4 linked regions of the Saccharomyces cerevisiae S288C genome follow. The protein of the gene in region 4 interacts with the protein of the main gene of each other region in a biochemical or structural test. Each region holds a gene or a part of one and is shown on either strand. Other genes may lie near its edges. The genes, in order: YML045W-A, YHB1, CLC1 and IKS1.

Region 1 (5,803 bases), on a different chromosome or scaffold from region 4:
AAAATTCGATTGCAGAGAACCATAAATGGTTCGGTAAACCACTACATTGCAGTTGAGTACGGCAGTCATCTAATAAGGTACGGTTGAGCCGTTCAGCGACTCCATGTGCTCGGGAATCCGCTGTGGTTGTATAGCATGGAGTTATACCATTTTTTTCAAGGAATTTATGGAGAGTTCTGTTAGTATACTCAGAACCACGGTCCATTTGTATAACCAAGACACTGGCCTGAAACTGGTTCTTAATAAAAGCTAGTATCGTAGTAAAAACATCGAGGATAGAGTCCTCGCGACGGTCGTGTAATGGATAAACCCAACGGAATTTTGTTGTCTCATCAGTAAATGAGATGAAATAGGATGGTGCACTTTTTGGTAGGTTGTGAACTGGACCAAATATGTCAGTATGTAGGTATTGAAAGGGTTCGTATGAATTTTGGTATTTTAGTCGTGAACCTTTGATATGTCTGTGTTTGGTGCTTTTGCCGATTAAACAATCAGGACATTGATAGTCAATAGCACTAGACCAGTCGACATCTGATTCGTTAAAATACGTGATGGTGTTATTTTTAAGTGAGTATCGAATTGTCTGTGCATTGGCATGTGCAAGCATTCGATGAATGAAAGGATAAGGATATTTGCGTGTACTTTCACTTGTATGGACATTATTGATGGTGGGTACGGAGATATTTGATGGAAGCAAGTACTTTTTAGATACCCAGTAAAAGTCTCCATATTTTACGATAGGTGCAAGTACAGTGCCGTCAGACCGTTCTAAGACGTTTTTGGTAAAGCATGCTGTGATATCTACTGCAGCCAATTCATTCAAACTGAGTAAGTCATAGGCTATGTTAGGAGTGTGCAATACCTTTATTGATGTTTTGGTGTTGTCCTGGAAGTGAAATTGTAGGTCACCAATAGCGTTAATTGGTATATTTCTTTTTTGAGCATCAACTACGTTTATGTCAGGATTAGATGATGCTGAGTGTATGTGATGAGCAGATCTTATAAGGGTTCGTGATGCTCCTGAATCGAGAAGGAGGTGTCCAGGGAGTTCATCATCAGAATGATTAGTATGATTTACTGTAGATTCAGTAAGTTTCTGGCCTAAGATGAAGGTCGTGCTTATTGTTCAATTGAATCGGTTCAGTAGTTGATTTACTGATGGAATCGTTGTCCGTGCTGGGAGAGTTATTAGATGTGGATACATTGTGAGCCCTGGCTGTTTTCGATTTCGAATTATTTGTTTTTTGAGGATTCCGAGCTATAACTTTGGGTTTGGTTGTATTCGTATAGCTGCGAGAATCATTCTTCTCATCACTCGGATTTCTCCTGTAATTAGGTTTGCTGTTTCTCGATCCCTGTTGTTCTTCATAAATAGCATGGATATCTAAGAACAGTTCAGCGACTGTCATATTTAGATGTCGATGACGTGTGTAGCGTAAAAATTTATATTCGCCAGATAGACCTCTCATAATTAATTGGCATGCGACCTTGTTATTGATATGAATGCCATTATTGTTCAGTCTGTCGATAATGTTTGTGACTTTTGTTTCAAATGCATCTGCAGGTGTACTGCCATTATATTGCAAATTTGCCAGGGTCACAATGTCGTTTGCCTCTTGGGTATCAGATTGCATTTTTTCAATACTTTTGGAAAGAATTTTCATGATATCCGTATAATCAACGGATAGGATGTCTTTGACCCAGGTAGGTAGGAATTGAGAGGGAGCAAATATTTGAAAAGTGTTATACAAGAAGGTGAGTTCATCATCAGTGATCTGACGTACGGGTTTTCCGTTTACTGTCGGAATAATACCACCGAGATTCGAGTTTTGTAAAAATTTGATGTATGTTTTAACCCAATTTGGAAAGTCATTAGGTGAGGTTAACATTGGTGGTGGTCTGACATATTTTTTAGTGGATGTCATATCAGAGTCCGCTGAGGATGAATCAGTAAATGTATTACCTGACTCAGGTGATGGAGTGCTCAGAGGCGTTCCAACTGATGATGGATACTGCGGAAACTGTGATTGTGGCCCAGGTGGAAAGTACATAGGCGACATTTGATAAGGTGTATACGGAATCATAGATGGGTGTCCGTAAAATGACCAACCAGATGGATTGGCTTGGTTTTGGGTCATCATGCACTGCTGTGGGTACGGCCCATTCTGTGGAGGTGGTACTGAAGCAGGTTGAGGAGAGGCATGATGGAGGTTCTCTGGAACAGCTGATGAAGCAGGTGTTGTTGTCTGTTGAGAGTTAGCCTTAGTGGAAGCCTTATCATATTCTTGAATTTTGGAAGCTGAAACGTCTAACGGATCTTGATTTGTGTGGACTTCCTTAGAAGTAACCGAAGCACAGGCGCTACCATGAGATATATTTGGGTAATTAGATAATTGTTGGGATTCCATTGTTGATAAAGGCTATAATATTAGGTATACAGAATATACTAGAAGTTCTCCTCGAGGATATAGGAATCCTCAAAATGGAATCTATATTTCTACATACTAATATTACGATTATTCCTCATTCCGTTTTATATGTTTCATTATCCTATTACATTATCAATCCTTGCACTTCAGCTTCCTCTAACCTCGATGACAGCTTCTCATAACTTATGTCATCATCTTAACACCGTATATGATAATATATTGATAATATAACTATTAGTTGATAGACGATAGTGGATTTTTATTCCAACACATATAAACATTACCTTTGTTGCCCGTTCCCGGGAAATATTGTTTACAGATGGACAGAGACCTAGCAAACCCACAATTCCATTCGAGTTTGCCACAAGATGCAGCGCATAGCTACAGTTTTGAATAGACTGTACTGTGCATTTAAGAAGTTGTTATATATGGTTAGTTAACTCTATGTTCCAACAAATACCAATAAAGATCGCGCAAGTGGTTTAGTGGTAAAATCCAACGTTGCCATCGTTGGGCCCCCGGTTCGATTCCGGGCTTGCGCATATTTTTTTTTAATTCACCAAAAATATTTAATGTTTAGAAGTTGTTTTACATATTTGGACGTTTTCAAAATATCCTGACGATAGAAACAATCATTAATAGTCTTTACATATAAACAATATTTATCAAATTTTTCTGATTATATAACCATCAAAAAACACAGAAAAGGCCTGTCATTTCGATTTACGTAAACTAAATTAATAATAAATTTATTTCATCTACCTGTTTTACTCTTCATATTATTTGATTTCTGCGATTTAATAGAATCTTACCAACCTCTAATGTTTTTTGAATATATTTTAATTTAACAGGTTCAATAGTTACTTTTTTATTATAAATAATAACTTAAAATATTACATAAACTATTATTTATATTATCATACAATAATTTATTATATAATTATTTATTAACTCTACCAATATAGAATAAAACATTTTCAATAATAAATTATAAACAAGTAAATATTTGGGTACTCCTTCGGGGTCCGGCCGAGTAAATTATTATTTTAAATATAATTTATGATTTATGATTAATTTCATTTACCTTCCTTAAGAAATTCTTCAGTGTATAGATCATTAATCTTGACCTGATTAATTTTCTCCAAGTTTCTAAAATTAGGCAAACTGATGGGCTTTTGAATCAAAGTTCCTGAATTGCACTCAATTATACTGTTGGATATCTGCGGTCTTTCTGTCGTTATGCCGATGTGACCAGCCTCCTTCCATTCCGTCTTTTTATGCCAATCTACATTTGCTGTAGTATTTAATACTGGATCGTATTTTGGATTCGACATTTTCAGCTCAGGGTACAAGATAGGGTCAAATGTATTTGAATCTATAATGGAGGATTCATACGTGACGATATTTGAATGAGTTAAATAGAAAGTCTTATAATCCGTCAAAATATCATTCATTACTGTAGTCGGCAAGTATATTTCTACCCCAAGCTCCCTAATGAATTTATTCAGCTTGGTAAAATTTACATTACTCTTTTCAAATTTGTAGTAAGTTAACCAGAACGGTACAGAATTTTTAATGAGGATGTTTTTTTGATAAAGGTTGAAATATTTCCTTGTTTGCATATTATTTTTAAGTACAAGCCATGTAGTTTTTATCAATTCTACCACGACTATGCTTAAGTTTTTATCATTTATTAAGGTCTGTAAATGCACCTTGGCATCAATTTGATTATTGATGTAGTTGGTGATTGATGTCTCTAGGATTTTAGTAAACGATGTTTGTTTCTCTAGAATTTCCTTTGGCGATTGATCTAAGGAATTCTTAAAAGAATGTCTTTTCAACATACAAAGGTACTCCGTCATAAGTAATATGTCGTTGGGCCAAATCTTTAAATAACGCGATACTGTCTCATTGAATATGTTATTGAATAAGGTATTATTTGACCGATATTTTCTTTTCAAAAACCTAAGAAAATCATACCTCAAAGTTTTGAAATCCAGTGGTAAGAACGTATTGGCTTTTTGGTATATATCCACTACCACTTCATCGGATATATTTTTCTTTGTTAGCCACTTAATATACATCATCCACGTATTTTCATGGTAAAGACAAGGAATCAAACATCTGTCAAAAACGGACATTACGAATTCTTTATCCAAGGATTTTGAAGGATCCGTCACAAATTTTAAATATCGCGACCAATTTTCCAAATCATCATTTAACACTTGGCCCAGGTTGAAGAAGGGCTGTTTGATTTTCGATTCGAACTGCCAAATTTCATTTACTGTTGTTTGTGTTTTTCGTAAAACTATATCAATATTCCTTGTTGTCTTCAAATTTTTTTCATTTAAAAACTTCTTGTAAGATGTGAAAAACCGCGCATACTGATGTAGAGGAACTTCAATAATGTACTCGTATATTCTTTGAACGTTATGCCAATTCTTCTGCCCAACTTCAAATTCTATAAACTTGTCCCAAAAAGGGTGTGATAGAAACTGCTTGCCAATAAGATCCTTTGCAATTTCAAAATTATTCCTAATAAAATCCGTTTCGTTCGGGTTATTAACACACAACACATTCAAATAATCACACCATAACTCCAGAGAAGTTGGGAACCATTTGACCGAGGTGGCCAGAACAGCAATCGATTTCTTGAGACCAAATAACTGGTACTCAATAGTAGCAAACCTCTTCCAAAATCCAAACAATAAAGGGTACTTACGCAATATTTGCCATAAAATAGTTTCCAAGGCCAATTTGATTGAATCATTTGGATTGCCATATTTAACCACTGTTTGCTCTATAACATCTACCATTTGGGTCAACGAAGAAATATCTGACCAGTCTAAACCACGATATGCTTGTACTAATGCTGTGTTGTCTTGAAGGAACTGGGTGTCCAAACCTCGAAGGGCATCAGGCCTAGGCTCAATATCTTCTATTGTAAAATTTGTTTCATCTGGCATAACGAAAGACGGATTGCCAAGTATCCAATAGCAGTAAGGGCCAAAACTTTTTGTTGAACAAAGAAATGGCTGTGGAAGGCGCGTTTTTACTTTAGGACTTTGAAAACTTTCTTGCGTAAATTCTGTTTAAGTCTGAAACTTTCAACTCTGTATTAAATTTGTTTTAAGATGTGCGACGGCGACGTAAAATGGTAAAGAAAAAGAAAATGAATGATAGTAAATCATACTGAAAACGAATGATCTGAAACAATAAAAAAAGATATTTGTATATAAATTATTCAGCCATGCTCAAACCTCCAGATTAAAAATCAATAATGGATTAATTGAAAGCCCTGGAGCTGGCATTTTTTACCACATTGTCTAAGAGGGAAAGGAAAATGACAACAAAGCGCTAAATAATGGAATCAA
Region 2 (5,441 bases), on a different chromosome or scaffold from region 4:
TCTAAATCAAATTTGTCATCATTTGGGGTTAAATCTATTGTATTAAGGCGTTGCGTACTAGACTGCGAATTTATTTCATTCAGGGGTGCAGATGGCAAATTTAATGGTCTTTGTAAAAGTGCATTCAAAACATCAACGTGGCTCTCCCATAAGGCGTAAAAAAGTGGCGAATGGCCGTTGTCATCTTCAATATCCAGACGTGCATTATGTTTCAATAGTTCAGTAATAACTTCAGAATGACCTGAACGAACAGCGTAAAAAATGGGCGTCCATTTATTAAACCCATCAATTTCGTTGGGATCCGCCCCATAACGTATCAATAGTTGAATTAATTGTGGATCGCCGCCAATTTTTGCCACTATATGAAGAGTGCATAAACCTGTTGAGTTCTTTTTGAAAAGCGGTTGACACAAGTGTTGTGAACTTTTGTTCTTGGCATTATCAGCATTTTGCTTACTCCGAATTTCTAAAAGTAACTTGGCGGCGTCATGATTATTAAATTTACAAGCAACATTTAAAGGATCGAACTGGACTTTAGTAGAGCTGATTACATTCTTACTATAATCCAGAATTGGCTTTTCAATGGGTGATGCGTTCGCACCACCAATAGTCAGCAGATCCCTAACAACATCTATGTGGTTGTTAGTGATAGCCAAAACCAAGGGTGTCTTAGAATCACTATCAATGGGATCAACGTCCTCTAAAAGATTGGTGATTAGCAACGAGTGAACAAATTCCAGTTTTCCTAGCTCTGCAGCATAATGTAGCGGCACCCGCGAATGTATATCTTGGGCATTCAGTAGTTTTTGTACTGTTTCTTTAGATAACTTTGATGTTGTTAAAGCCTCATCTAGAATAAATAAGCGTGATTTTTCTGGACAACTTGCAGCCTCGTGAAATACGTTTTTTCGTGAAAATACTTGATCATCTTCGTCACAATATGACAGATCAATATGATCCTGATTGCTTTTATAGAAAATATGCAGAGAGTTATCGTCCAAAGGACTAGCCACCAGTAATAAAAACAGCGTCGTTAAGCACTCCTTCAACAAAGAAAAGACATTTTTATGAAAAGATTCTGAGGAATTTTGTAGCAGATATGTGAATATCTTGGTTTCTCTGAAGTTTCTTAGTAGTGCATGCTTTCTTTGAACATCTTTCACCGTGGCTATATTCAAAATTTCCTTATACCAGTTTTCGATTTCCATCTCCATGTCCAAGGAGGAGGAAGATGCTTGAAAAAGATGTTCAAGTTGGTTTTCCGAAATCTTTGATGTTGTTAATTCATAATTATTGTGTAATATGTTATTATTATTGTTGTTGTTGTTGTTGTTATTATTATTGTTATTATTATTATTGTGTTTATTATTGTTGCTGGTATTATTGTCGTCATCATCGTCATTAGTAAACGTACTGGATTGTATGTCTGCCCTTCTATTGTTGTTGTCAATATCATTCAGCTCTAAGAGAATATGTAAAGTTTCATCGTTTAATTTTAGTGGCCCATCTCTGGTAAAAATTGGTTGAATGGAAACAACAGTAGCAAGGTAAAAATCTTTATCGTGAGATTGAGATCTCTTGTCCCATTTCTTCAGAGCTTTTGAAAATCCCGTTTTATTTAACTCAACATACTGCTCCAAATTTCTAAGATCCTTTTGAAACTTTTTGAAAGCCGCATATAAGTTTTTAAATGAGGTAGCTTGGTTTGAGTTTAGCTTACCATTTATCTTATAATCTTTATATTTTGAGTGTAATATATTGAATTTTATTCTTAAATCGGACTCTCTCGCCAAATAATAACCATTTACTTTTTCCAGCTCCCTCTCTAGTTTAAAAAAAAAGGCAGCTTTATTTTCTTGCAGTCTCTGATGTATAATTTTTTCGTCGATGTCATCTAATGTTAAATGCAAATCTAAATCTGAACTAGCCTTTAGCGTGGGAATGGCCAATTGTTTGATAAGTTTCTTTAGAGCCTTATAATCAATAAAATGGCTGTTGTACTCCGCCAGTTCCAACTGCCTGGCTTCCAAATACTTGCCGAATTTCATTGCACGTTTATCTATCTATGTTGCCTCCAAAGGGTTATTCTCTCAAAAAGCTCAATCACTGTGGAACCGAAAAATAATGTTATGAAGATTTTTTGAGCAGTATGTCTTGTCAAAAGCTCAACTAGTGCAGCTGATGTTGCTTAAAAAAATAAAAACCAAATTTTTCTACTTTGCTCTTGTACGTTGCACAAAGAAGATTATGTAACAAACTTGAAGGGACTCTCAAAAACTTGCTATAAATTGTACAAAAGCCTCAATATCACCTAGTAGTGGTTCTATACCTGTCTCGAGCCATCGCCAAATAGTTGATAAATTTGATTAATTTCTGCCCTTATTCGCACGTGCCATAACACCTGTACCTCTCACGCTAAAGACCTTTATAATCAAGGAAACTTGTTGCTGCAGAGGAAATAGGAGGTAATGAATTGTGATAAGGCACATCACATCAATTTTTCTTGCATTCTTGCATAGAAAGATAGGCTGATGCAATTAGCGCGTTTCAATCGCGTGCCAAAGACGTATATACTAAGCAATATAACCGAATTGATTAAGTAGTTGGTTAATTGTATATTTTGTGATAAAGATGGTTAACTGACTTAGGCGGACATAATAGTAGAAAATCTATATAATTTTTCCCATGCAGTTGTTATTACAAAATGCAATTCTTGAGATAGCACAAGCAAGAATAATAGGGCACGGTACGTTCATTCACGTAGCGTTAGCTAGTGCTGCCACAAGGTAAACGTACGATTATATTCATTTTTGAAACGGAAGTTCTTTGTAACCCTCATGCTCGTTTGATAGTCACTTAACTACAAGATATTCTCGTTCAGTGATTGCTTGCTTATAAATCAGGAAACTTCATTTTTATTCCTTACATTTTCGAAAAGCCCGCAAGGTTTTCTTCGCCACGCTCAAGCATTCATCGTTGAAAAGCAAAACTGTGCACACTGTACCTTAGGCGACTCTTCTCCGAACAAGCTCATGGCTCATTTTTAAAATCACAAGCTTCGTATAATTGCCAAGACATAATCTAATTGAGAAGGTCAGACGGCAAAACAAATGACCGAAATCTTCGTTTATTGGTTCGCCTGCGTTGCCAACTGGTACATTTTCCCAGAGTACCAGCAAAGGAAGGCATCCTTGATGCCTACTCTGATACTGTGGAGGATTTAAACTGAAAATGATAGTCTGCGCGGCAAATCTTTCTATTTCTACTAAAGTTGGATCCTCCGGCCGATATAACGTATTCTTTTTATCCAATAATGTCAATTTTAAATGCTCGATTACTAATCGTTACTAAAATAGCGGACGCGCTTATGCGTCTTCGACGGATAGTTTTCAGATCATCCCTCTCAGAAAGCAATGCAGGAACCGCCTGTAAAACTATCTTTTGCTGGCACTCACACATTATGGTATTGATGCCACCTGAAAATACGGAAATTAACCATTCCTTGTACGGAGATCTAAGAGCAACTATTATTGAATTGTTGCCGTTAAAGTTTCATTTCAGTTCCGTGTGTGGTCAAGTACAAGACTACTGATGAAATATGTTGTACACACACGGAAATATATATATATATATATATATAACAATATTGTGGGTTGAGGTGGAGACTTGATTTTTCTTATACAGTATATTCTTGTTCATTTTTTACCATTTTCAACAAACCACACAAAGACTTTATTCATTATGCTAGCCGAAAAAACCCGTTCCATAATCAAAGCAACCGTTCCTGTTTTGGAACAGCAGGGCACTGTCATCACGCGTACATTCTACAAAAATATGCTTACTGAACACACCGAATTACTTAATATTTTTAACAGAACTAATCAAAAGGTTGGCGCACAACCAAATGCCTTGGCCACTACTGTTTTGGCAGCGGCTAAGAACATTGACGATTTGTCTGTGCTTATGGACCATGTCAAGCAAATTGGCCACAAGCATCGTGCCTTGCAAATTAAACCTGAGCATTATCCAATCGTTGGTGAGTACTTGTTAAAAGCAATCAAGGAAGTTTTAGGCGATGCTGCGACTCCAGAGATAATTAATGCATGGGGCGAGGCTTACCAAGCAATTGCTGACATCTTCATCACTGTTGAAAAAAAAATGTACGAAGAAGCTTTATGGCCAGGTTGGAAACCATTTGACATTACTGCCAAAGAGTACGTTGCTTCAGATATTGTTGAATTTACTGTTAAGCCAAAGTTCGGTTCTGGTATTGAATTGGAAAGCTTGCCAATCACTCCAGGTCAGTATATTACGGTAAACACTCACCCAATTAGACAGGAAAACCAATACGACGCTTTAAGACACTACTCTCTTTGTTCTGCTTCAACTAAAAATGGTTTACGATTTGCAGTAAAGATGGAAGCTGCCAGAGAAAATTTTCCTGCAGGATTAGTCTCTGAATATTTACACAAGGACGCTAAAGTTGGTGATGAAATTAAGCTTAGTGCTCCGGCTGGTGATTTCGCAATAAATAAAGAGTTGATACACCAAAACGAAGTTCCATTGGTGTTACTATCGTCTGGTGTTGGTGTTACACCACTTTTAGCTATGTTAGAAGAACAAGTCAAATGCAACCCAAATAGGCCAATTTACTGGATTCAATCTTCCTATGATGAAAAGACTCAAGCATTCAAAAAACATGTAGATGAACTATTAGCTGAATGTGCGAATGTCGACAAAATAATTGTTCATACTGATACTGAACCACTGATTAATGCTGCATTCTTGAAGGAAAAGTCACCTGCGCATGCCGATGTCTACACTTGCGGCTCTTTAGCTTTTATGCAAGCTATGATTGGTCATCTAAAAGAACTAGAGCATCGTGATGATATGATTCACTATGAACCATTTGGTCCAAAGATGTCAACCGTGCAAGTTTAGGCGTTAAGCCTCGGAAACTTCAATTTTATTACTGATTCATTTGATAATTTCACTTGTTCGATTTCACAGTTTGAGAAGTTATATTACGAAATAAGAAAAATTTTTAAAACATGAGACCATTGCTAATCTTTTGTTGTTATACTGTGTTAGAAATCCTCGTGAAATCCTTGTGAAATCCTATGTGGAATATTTAGATAGTAAGTAAAGATTGTGTATGTATTTATAAGATGAATAAGCGCCAGGTGCTAAACAGAGTTCACTTCACGTTAACGCCAGTCCAATTTTTGATTGCATTCCCTGTTTTTTCTACATCTTTGTTCAACCATTTTTTGGCATCATAGTAGTATTGCACAGACGCGGTACTTAATCTCTTTGTTTCTTTCCAAACACGATCTTGTCTTTCGGTAAAGTGTGGAAAGGTGTTCATTTCTAGATTATGGATGAGACCCATGGTGTTCCTGAAGGTTGTTGGCATTGCATACGCAAAACAACAAGACCCC
Region 3 (4,761 bases), on a different chromosome or scaffold from region 4:
CATCTCATGACTACCATAATCAAGAATCATGATGTTTTAGAAACAACTACGCATAAGCACGAACCGCCGGTAAAACAATGGTGTAGCCAGGAAGTTGAAGCGGAGGATTTACCTGGCAGAATAGCGGGATTCAATATTGTTTTTGAAGATGAGAGTATCCTCGTCATTGATAAACCCAGTGGTATACCAGTGCATCCAACCGGTCAGTTTTACCAGAACACAATTACTGAATTACTGAAGTTACATGGTGTAGATGCTCTTCCTTGTTATCGGTTAGACAAGATCACATCAGGCTTGTTGATATTGGCCAAGAACAGTCAGAGTGCGGGGGAAATCCAGAAGAGTATTCGTTCAAGAGATATGATTAAGATCTACTTGGCAAGGGTCAAGGGAAGATTTCCTCACTCCGAATTGATATTGGACAATGAAAATGCGGCGGAAACGACTTTTGAGGACACTTCCAAAGTTACAGTGGAAATGACACCCATATATTCTATCGATCCAAAGAGACAGTTTCCAGTTGGTTTATCGACATCGAAGGATGCTATTACCAAGTTCTACCCAATAAGATACTTCTCTCATGCTGATGAAACTGTCGTCGCTTGTAAGCCAATAACTGGAAGAACACACCAAATTCGAATCCATTTAGCTAGGCTCGGTCATCCCATCGTCAACGATAGTGTTTATTGTTCGCATATTACAAAATACCCCGAAAGGCTTAAGTTTATAACTCAGTTTCCTAGATGGGAGAATCAGCAGGATTTAGATGCTGAGGAATTGAAAGTGAGGTTTCAAAAATTTGTCGATGAGACAAAAAATAATTGTCGGACAATGGAAACATTTTGTCCTGAATGTCATACTGTTGATTTAAAGGATCCTGTGCTATCAGACCTAGAATTATGGTTGCATGCTTGGAAGTATGAGGAGATTAATGGCAAATTCAAGTTCAAAACAGATTTACCAAAATGGGCACAATTGGACAATAGTTAAACTTTTTTTTGAGCGAACTTTTTTTGTATATAGTTTAGTTACCATTTCCGTACTTTGGATGTAAATTAAAATTAAAGAGAGACATTATTTTTAGTTGCGAATACATAACAGCGAATGTTCATGGGGAAAAGTTAAAAACCCTATATAAAGCACCACGAAATACACATCGCGAACAGAGCTAATGAGAGTATACACTTGCTAACTATATGAAACACAATCGTCCAAATGGTACTGGGAAAGCAGTTTCTGGCTTCAAGCAGATAATAAGAAGGCTTCTACTCCTCTTGAACAAGAAGAGAAGAAAACAACTCGTCATCATCTTGAAAAGAATAACCCAAGTCTATGGAATAAACCTAGTATTTTATGTCAAAAAATGGAAATTGAAAAAATTACAGGGTGAAAATATTCAAATAAATGATATCATGCCATGGCTAAGAGAGTCTACTATATTAGTCTTGCTGAACATACTATATCCAACTTTGATGAAGTTCCCATTTTTAAAAAATCATTATATTCACTGGTCTTCCATTGTAGGAATATCGTTAATGCTTACCAAGGGTGAGGTACCTTCGTGGATTATCGCACACTTTCTTGTGGAAGCTATAGCCTCCAAATTAAAGATCGCAAAATTAACACAATGGTTGAAAAAAAAAAATTTTTCCCAGGGTACATTAATAAAATTCCAGCAAATTCTTGTGTGTTTAGCGATTATTGTATTATTTGCCAAACTGGACAGGAGTTCGTTACCATTCCGTGTGCTTTTTGACCATAGGCCATTTTTAATAGATTTCTTCACAATCAATGCCATTTTCACAGTTTTGGCAGTATATCACAGAACATTAAAATTCTTTTTTACTTCAGGGACGAAATCAAATAAGAATGTCGGCGGCCACGAAGTCAGGAACTTTTCTCAATACCTTGGGGTCAAGAACCATAATGATTGGCCCATATCTTCATCAAATTTGAAGCATGTAATGGACAGACTAAATGAAATACATGAAGTTACAATTGATGATAATTATGCAAATATAAACGAAAAGATAATAAATTCATATTTCACCAAGGGTTTTTTTCCAAGTCTAAAATGGACTATATTAAGGCAGTGTATCGAATATTTATTCGTCACGAAAAGGCGCAGATTAATGGGCAACAAATTGCGGTGCATCGTGATGCTTCTTACATTCACCTTCGTGGATCCAACAAGTAAAATGAAAATCAGCCCATTTTTCGCAAAATTCTTTGCGAAGTCCTTGGTTAATGTTTACTTGAAAAAGTATTGGCATTGCAACTTTGGGAAATATATACTATTCTTTTTGTTTCAGCTTAGTATTATGTGATGTGTTTTTTTAGAAGAGAAGAGTTTACAAGTTTGTAAATAATCTATATTATAGTTGTCTTGATAAATGAATTTACAGTATGAATTAGTTATTTACTGAACCTATCAAGTATGATACTCATGTATGACGGGAATGATAGGGAATAAGCCCCTTCTCTTCCTTAGTTCATTATGGTTCTTATTATTCATCATCATTTAAGCACCGGGAGCCTTCGCGTTACCTTTCAATCTCAAAAGAATTTCTTTAAGCTTAGACCTGTCTCTACCCCCAATGATATCGGCATCATCTTGGTTAATTAATTGAAGTGCACGATCCCAGGTCGTATTGTCTTGACCAAAAAATTCATCTCTTTTCTTTAAGAAAGCCTCAGCTTCCTTAGCAGCATCTTCCAATTGTTGTTCCTTCTTTTTATTGTAAGAATCGTAAAAATCGTCAATATGTTTGATAGCTTCATCCTGCAATTCCTTTTTTAACTCCTCGTCCTTTAAATCCTTTTCGTGAATCTCTACAGCACGACGTTGTTTCCATTGGTCTACAACTTCAGAACGATCCTCTTTAACGGATTCTGTACTCTGATTGGCACCTTCGAATGTGGAAAAATCATCATCTGCCTCGCCATTGTCATTACCACTAGATACAGTAGCACTACCATTTTGATCGCTCGAGACTGCGCCATTTGCGGAGTTGATATCTGGAAATTGCTCTTCAAAATCCCTAATTTCGTCATCATCTTTGGCGGGGGAAGCCTCCGTTTCCAATATGTCATCCTGTTCAGTCTTGAACTCGTCTCCAAGTATCTCTGCTTCTCTTTTTAAAAAATCGGTGTCGTCATCTTTTTTGTCGTTGGGTGTGAAATCAATGTTTTGATCTTCCAAAGGAGGGAATTTCTCTGACATTATATATATATGTATCTAGTGAAACGGCGGCGTCCTTCAACTGCTCTTTTGGGTGACTCGCAACGCCTAAGTAAAGCTGTAAAACCCTTTTTCTAGCACGTATATTTTCAGTTTAGTTGTTTAATCTTCTAGGTGCCCCTTTCAGTGTAAAAAAATATGGAAGTGTTTCTATCGTGTAATGTGATGATAATAACTTTTTTATAGAAATGTTACAGATTAGTATGTAGTCTATGTTAATAAAATGTATACTTGTTCCGCTTACTGGATTAACACAGATGCGCCATTTCCAACTTCTATAAGTTCATTTGTATTTAAATCCAATACCTTAAGTCCGGAGAGAGTGCCATAATATCCGGACATAATACCAATAAATCGTAAATCCGCGAAGTATGTTTCTCTCGGAGGTACAACTGGAATTTTGTAATCGTTGGATAATAGTATAATCCCCTCCGCAATTTTTCTATATTTATTATGCAGTTGGTACTGATTTTCCAGTGTCAAGGGCGAATTGGGGATAGTCCCATTATTCATGCCACAGTTGTTTATACCATTGCTGTTACGTACGTTATTAGCTGAAGGGATTGGGTTTATTGTATTGTTATAATACACAACAAGATCCAGGGGGGATGATGACGAGTTAATGATCTGAAGCCTCATAGTAAACTTTTCGCCCTTAATAACTTTTATATTGCTATTAATAAACTTGAATTTTACATTGCTTAATTTGCTATTCACCAATGATGTAGTCGAAGCAGCTCCAAGACTAAATCTTGAGGAGGAAACCCCACCTAATCTTAGATTGGCCAAACCACCAGAATTAACGTTGTTGGCCGCACCATTAAAAGAAGCGCTATGATTGGTATTATTGTTGTTACTCGAGTATTGAGAAGATGTCGAGGAAATTGGCATAGAACGCTTCAATGTGACTTCTGTTTCCCATGATGTTCTCACAGGTAACTTCAGATTGGGATGCAGCTCGAGTTCGTACGCTAAGGTGATTTTCACACGATGTGGTTGAGTTGATTTGGGTAACAGAACCAGTTTAAAAGTAGCGCTAATGCTATCGTATGAAAATGCAGTGAGTGGCACTTTCAAAGGACAGATTGGATCTAGTTCAATTTGAGAGGTTCCGTCGATTAGTTTATACGATATTTCTTGAAAGTTCAGTTTGAGAAAAGAATTGTGTTCTTGCGGATAAATAAATTTTTTGGTCAGTTGTTCGGATGCTTTAGAAGTTTGAAAGTCTAACGATGATAATATGCAATGCTCAGATTTCAAGGAGATGTTTCTCAATCTCATATTCAAAAGTGAGAATATTGGGTATTGGAGCTTAAGAGTAAATGTATTCGGATTTCTAGAAACGTCCGCTTCGTGGACTTCGCTATTTTTAGAACTAACTCGATGAGTCGCCCTGTTATTTTTCTCCAGATGATTATTAGTATTTTTGGATGATTTGGTGGCTGCAGAAGACCAGGAATAAACTGGCTCAAAACTTGGCAAAATCTCCTCGCTAGAGTACTTATCTAATGTATACTTTG
Region 4 (6,507 bases):
GGGTGGTGATTGCCACGTCAATGAGAAATGCAAGGAGTACACCGACTGCCAACATTTCGAGTTCTTGAATTATCACAATAATCCGTCATTAACAAAATATAATGATACTGCAACGTATAATTCTAATAATCATTCTTTTGCAAACAATTTCCATTCGGTAGCTTCTGATCCGACAAGTCCCCAACAGAATTCTAAAAGCGACCTACCACGTAGAAAAGATTCTTGGTTTAACGACGATCTGATACTGCTGCCCTCTTCCAAGAAAAATAAACCGAACCCACCACCTGGATCCGATGATTGTTATTGTACGCCCAAGATTTTGGAAATATGTTGTGACGAAACTCATCCCAAAAGTGAGGCTAATATAAAACAAGGTGAATCTGATCAACCGACAAAGAAAGACATATCTGAGAACGGCAATGATGTTGCAATATTCACAGATGTAAAGAACGATCACTTGATGCCAAATTTTAACCTTCATGATCAGTACTGTAATAGTACCAATCACGACTCTCACAATCACAATAATACTGTACCAGATAGCTTTTCTCAGCTGATGTCTCACTTATCGGAGATTGATTGCGATTTGACCTGTGACACCCCATGCACGGCTAGCACGAGCGCGACTAGTGGTCACAAGTTTGTTCAAGATCATCAATCATCAAATAATGATGACGTTTTCCATAAATACTGCAAATTTTGTGAGGAGAGCACTGATAATCAACCTTGTTCTAAGCATATGCATTTAGAGTCAAAGCCACCTCAACTACCACCCAAATGTTCATCTTTACGAAAACCTACAAACACTTTGCAAGGTACAAATCATGCTTATCACGAACATATCTTAAATACTGATATGGATTTGAAGATTTTGGAAGATTTATGCAATATTTCTTCTTTGTATGAAGTACCGTTTGGAAAACACATTAACCACCACGACCACAATAATGCCGGTAACGGCTGCGATGGTTCGAGCACAGGAAATAATGAAAACGGTAACCAAACAATGAATCTTCTATTATCAAGCATTAATAGATGCAACCCTAAAAATAATCTTAATGGAAGCAATAACAATACGGCTGGAGCAACTTCAACTGATCATCAACACCATCACCATAGAATACAGTTTCATTCTCACAAACCAAATAGAAACAATATTGTGAACAATTCAGGGATTAGCGCGGCGAACACAACAGCCGATCTAACTAACAACGATTTAAATGACTTAATTTCAAGAGAGTATAGTTATGAAAGATTTAGAAATCAAAGTGAGCCCCCTTCGCTACCCAAAGTCACTCATCAGAATCAGAAAAATCGTAGATCTTGGCCTACAAAAGATCTAGAATCTACTGATTTCAGCTCTTTGGAAGACTCATTACCTTCTAGCATCTCTCCTCCTATACAGACAACAAGCACTATAAATTTCAACTGGTGTTTTAAAGAAGAGAAAAACAATGACTTAAAATGCAAATGGAAAGAATGTCCTGAGTCTTGTAGCTCACTATTTGACCTACAAAGACATCTTTTGAAGGATCATGTCTCTCAAGATTTCAAACACCCTATGGAACCATTAGCTTGTAATTGGGAGGACTGTGATTTCCTTGGAGATGATACATGTTCCATAGTGAACCATATTAATTGTCAACATGGTATCAATTTTGATATTCAATTTGCCAACCCAGACTCATTTTTGCCTGGTAGTATATCAAAGGAAAAACATCACTTACTACATTGCCCCAACCCACAAACACACGAAGTTTCTAAAGCAGATGGAGCACCTGATATGACGTCTGCAAATGATGTTTCCAATATACCGCCAATCAAGCAGCCGGAACAGGTGATTTGCCAATGGGATGGTTGCAATAAGTCATTTTCCAGTGCTCAGGAATTAAACGACCATTTAGAAGCAGTACATTTAACCCGGGGTAAGTCTGAATACCAATGCTTGTGGCATGACTGCCATCGTACGTTCCCCCAAAGACAAAAATTAATCCGTCATTTAAAAGTGCATTCGAAATACAAACCTTATAAGTGCAAGACATGTAAAAGGTGTTTTTCAAGCGAAGAAACTTTAGTTCAGCATACCAGGACACACTCTGGCGAAAAACCTTACAAATGTCACATTTGTAATAAAAAATTCGCGATTTCAAGTTCTTTGAAGATTCATATAAGAACCCATACTGGTGAAAAACCTTTACAATGCAAGATTTGTGGTAAGAGATTCAACGAATCGTCAAATTTGAGCAAACATATTAAGACCCATCAGAAAAAATACAAGTGCTCTGACTGTTCCAAAAGCTTTGACGATTTGGGAAAATTGAACTCACAGAAAGTGAAATGCGCATTGGAAAGAAAACCATATTTATAAATGTGATCATCATGGTCCAACGTAAGAAGGGCGGTTTTCAGGATCACATAAATGCATAATTAGAAACATTTCATATTTTACCTAGACTACTTTTTATTTATAATTTTTCGCAAACTCTTTTTTGTAAGCTTTTACAGTACACTTTTTTTACGTAATAACGTATTTCAAGCTTTATTTTTTGTATACGTTTCAGAAAAGGGGGTGGGGGGGAAGGACATTGTATATATAGATCCTATGAGTGACAACTAGGTAACCGAAGAAACACTATTAGATATATAGTTTGAGGGATAGCATAAGTAGAACTTAGAAATGAGTTTAGTACCATATGAAGAAGGTTCGCTGATTTTAGATGATCCTAATTCTAAATCAGTGGTGGTTGTTAATCCAACCTCAGGAACTTTATCATTTTTCCAACAGGACAACAGTAATAATGACTCTGAACTAAATGAAGACCAGACTGCATCTTTATCAGCACTGGACTTTCCTTCAGGGATTCATCAATACAAAAGCCCTATTGCTTCCTATGTGTGCCCGCAATGTGGTACGGAAATTAACCCTGATATTATAAACAGAAGACAACTTCATCGTCGAGCCTCTGCTGGAGTAGAATCAGAAAGCAGTAGGCTCAGTATTCCAGAGAACACTGTGCCACTTGGATTTGAATTTGCCAATTCAAGCTTTTCAAGAAGATATTTTCAGTCATTGGAAAGAAATCATCGGCACTACGCCCTACAAAACGATAGTAACAATAAGCAGGGACAGTTCAGCAAAAACAAATACTTTATTCCAGATGATTTGTTTATCCCCGGATACTTTCGTAAATTTTTCAAAATATTGTCTTTGCTGGGAAATGGTGCAAGAGGTTCTGTTTACAAAGTTGTACACACAATTGGTAATACTGAATTAGGTGTTTTTGCACTAAAAAAAATACCTATTGGAAATGATATGGAATGGTTTAATAAGTGCATACGGGAAGTGAAAGCGTTGAGTTCGCTAACTCACAAAAGTGCCAATTTGATTACGTATAATCATGTGTGGCTCGAAATGGATTCTTCGGTTGGATTTGTCAGATCCATTGATGGGAGCCAATCGGATTCACAAGAAGAAGTTCCTTGTATTTTCATTTTACAACAGTATTGCAGTGGCGGCAATTTAGAAGACTGTATTCTAAGAAAAGTGTTCAATAGGTTCTCAGATACCGAATCACCTGAAGAGAGGAAAAAAAAATTTAGAACTCGCAAGAAAAATCACGGTAAATCAGGAGAAGTTGGCCTATCTACGGAACAGCTCGTATCCATTATAAGGGATATTGCAAGAGGTTTACACGAACTGCACAGTATTGGCCTAATACATAGGGACTTGAAACCATCCAACTGTTTATTATTGACTCCATTTAAAAGTGACAATGAGAATGACAACGTATACGACAGGGAACACAATTCAGATGAGTTTTTCCCATCAATTGTTATTGGCGATTTGGGGGAAAGTCAGTTGGAAGGAGAGTCCAGATTGGGTACTGGTTGCACAGGAACATTAGAGTTTACAGCACCAGACCTTATTATCCAGGGGAGACCAGTTTCTTCTTCTACGTTGCCTTCAAGATCGAGTCACACATACAATGAATACACCTTTGCTTCCGATATGTATTCTCTAGGAATGATTTGCTATTTTATTGTCTTCGGTGAATTGCCCTTTGAACCACAGTTGGATATAGTTGATTTGAAGGTACGCATCAAAAATTTTAGGTTCGACACTGAAGGTATGATTGAAAAGCATCAAGCGATGAAATTGAAACCAATAGACCGTAGAATATTTCACCTAATGGACGCTCTTTTACAACCAAATAATGATGCTAGACCCACAGCGAAGACAGTGGAGGAGACGTTAGATGAAATGCTAATAAATTCCAAACCCGGCAAAAAATTCTGGAAAGAAAATGTGGATAGCACTTTGAACTTCAGTACAATCTCGGAAGTGAATGAGAATACCAACAGTTTTACTGATGATTATATTGACGGAGACAACGTTACTTTATCATTACCAGCACCAGAGGAAAATTTGAGCACCGTATCAACCCAAAACCTCCAAAAGTATTCTGCTTTAAATAGAACAATCCAGGTTTGTTACAAACTAGTTTCTATGATATTAACGATAATCATATTTAAGTGTACCAAAACGGGGTCGTGGCTCTCTTATATGTCACTGATATTGTTGGGAATGGTTTTTAAATCACCAGCTGATGAAAGAGGTAAGCATGCAAGAGCGTTGGTTTTACTGGCCTTCATCGCCGCATGCAAAAAATACATATACTAACAATAAGTACACATTGCAAACTAAATAGCACGTAATTTATTTTTACTTTACAAATTTATAGAAAATATTCTCGCTTATCACCAATGTTCACGAATCATCTTCACCTCTTCTAAGGGCCGGTGACAAAGGTGCATAATGTTAGAAAAATTGACCGATGAGTAAATTTATAGAGGGAATAACCAAATGAAAAGATCTAGGTGACAGAAACGCCAATTGACCTCTGTAGAAATAAAGTTCTTTCATTATGACAGCAGAAGATATACTCCTTCGAGAAAGAACATCTACTACGACACAACGCCCTGTCAATAGCGAACAATACCTTAATGTGCAATTAGCCACAGCCCCAGTAAAAAATTTTCAGACTACAAGCGAGATTAGCCGGCAAACTCTTGTAGACACATCAAATGATGACGTTTATTCCATCAAGAATTTGAAGGGCTCGAGGAACCCCATTAGCCCTAGTGTTTCTAACGTTGGCTTCCAATCCATATTCCATACAGTAGATCATCCTCGATCGAAGGTCAGTGTGGCCTCAAATCATTCCTTGAGGAGCAATGACAATGCCTCAGCTGCAACATCTAAATCTGGTTCTTCTCAGATAGGGGAATCTCATAGCGTTGACACGGTGGAGTGCTCGAACAATCTATCTAAAAAGTTATCTTCTGATGCAATATCCATTACTCAGAAAAGTTTACACTCCACGCCCTCCGGCAGGTATATGAAAGGAAAGGCTTCTGGCTTTTTTAATAGGAGAAACAGAGCACATACGACCATTTCATCGGATCCTGCCTCCTTTTTGACAGATTCAAGCACCTTACATAATAGTTCACATTCATTTCGAAACGTGATTAAGAACTTTTTCCAAAATAAAAGCCACAGGCACATTGGTCAAGATGCTATCGAGCCTGCAATTCCAAATTCCTTGAGTAAATTTCTGCATTCCTCTTACGGAAGACATAAATCTCCGTCACAATTTATTCATACTAATGCGGGGCAACTTGTGGACTCAGGAACTTCTGTGTACTCATTGAATGTTAATCCATCTGGTGTCAATCCCAACACAATCGTTGAGGATCCGCTTTCTGGAACTGATCCTGCCTCACCGAATCCGGTCTCAATGTTACACGACCTTTTAAGAAATTTACCATCTCTGGAAGCTAACTATAAACACTTCAACTCCCAAGAACTGACAACCCTAACAAATAATATTTGGAATATATTTTGTAGTAACGTAGCAGAATTATTCAGAACTCAAAGAATATGGAAACTCAGGGCCAAAATAGAAAATTTTAACGAAGTTTTAGAATTCTATTGCATTTTAAAAACAGATCCAAGAGTCACACATAGCGGCATGAATAGAATTATCAGCGATTTGAAAGAATTTTTGGTTAGTTCCCTATACAATTTAGAAAACCAAATTGTTTTTAACTATTCTAATGAAGACACAATAAATAACGCATTGAAAAGATTAGGCGTTATATGGCGGATATTTTATCAAGAGGTATATTATGATTTAGCCGCTGTGTTATTACCGTTGGATCAGAGTATCAGAGAAGATGGTAATTCTACGGTTTTAAAGTCAGGCAATGAAAGTCGGACTCACATTAATGGTAATTATTCTATTGGGTTTCTTTTGCTTATGTGCTTTAGAGATTCAATAGTCTTACCTTGTTATGAAAACTTCGTAAATAGTAACGATGGTATCAGCAAAAGTTTTCAACTTTACATTTTCAATCAAGAAGAAGAAAGTAATGTCACAGAAACAGATAAATTGACATTACTGCAGTGTTTTGGCATATTGAGTACCATTCAAAGTAATGATAGAA

What was found.
Region 1: the proteins of IKS1 (region 4) and YML045W-A form a complex in vitro, tested with the Saccharomyces cerevisiae proteins (one large-scale study listed by BioGRID).
Region 2: the proteins of IKS1 (region 4) and YHB1 form a complex in vitro, tested with the Saccharomyces cerevisiae proteins (one large-scale study listed by BioGRID).
Region 3: the proteins of IKS1 (region 4) and CLC1 form a complex in vitro, tested with the Saccharomyces cerevisiae proteins (one large-scale study listed by BioGRID).

The regions. Positions count from the first base shown.
Region 1 is NC_001145.3:181,066-186,868, reverse strand, and holds YML045W-A (gag protein), read right to left. Parts: upstream 2,409-5,803; coding exon 1,086-2,408; downstream 1-1,085. Other genes in the region: PRP39 (Prp39p), read right to left, coding at 3,506-5,395; pheromone-regulated K(+) transporter PRM6, read left to right, coding at 5,794-5,803.
Region 2 is NC_001139.9:956,163-961,603, forward strand, and holds YHB1 (flavohemoglobin), read left to right. Parts: upstream 1-3,741; coding exon 3,742-4,941; downstream 4,942-5,441. Other genes in the region: PHO81 (Pho81p), read right to left, coding at 1-2,048; MIC26 (Mic26p), read right to left, coding at 5,198-5,441. UniProt on the Saccharomyces cerevisiae protein: Is involved in NO detoxification in an aerobic process, termed nitric oxide dioxygenase (NOD) reaction that utilizes O(2) and NAD(P)H to convert NO to nitrate, which protects the fungus from various noxious nitrogen compounds.
Region 3 is NC_001139.9:830,918-835,678, reverse strand, and holds CLC1 (clathrin light chain CLC1), read right to left. Parts: upstream 3,224-4,761; coding exon 2,522-3,223; downstream 1-2,521. Other genes in the region: pseudouridine synthase PUS6, read left to right, coding at 1-990; PEX35 (Pex35p), read left to right, coding at 1,197-2,327; TRS65 (Trs65p), read right to left, coding at 3,482-4,761. UniProt on the Saccharomyces cerevisiae protein: Clathrin is the major protein of the polyhedral coat of coated pits and vesicles. In yeast, it is involved in the retention of proteins in an intracellular membrane compartment, presumably the trans-Golgi. The yeast light chain is important for cell growth.
Region 4 is NC_001142.9:326,292-332,798, reverse strand, and holds IKS1 (protein kinase IKS1), read left to right. Parts: upstream 1-2,677; coding exon 2,678-4,681; downstream 4,682-6,507. Other genes in the region: ZAP1 (Zap1p), read left to right, coding at 1-2,368; BIT61 (Bit61p), read left to right, coding at 4,926-6,507.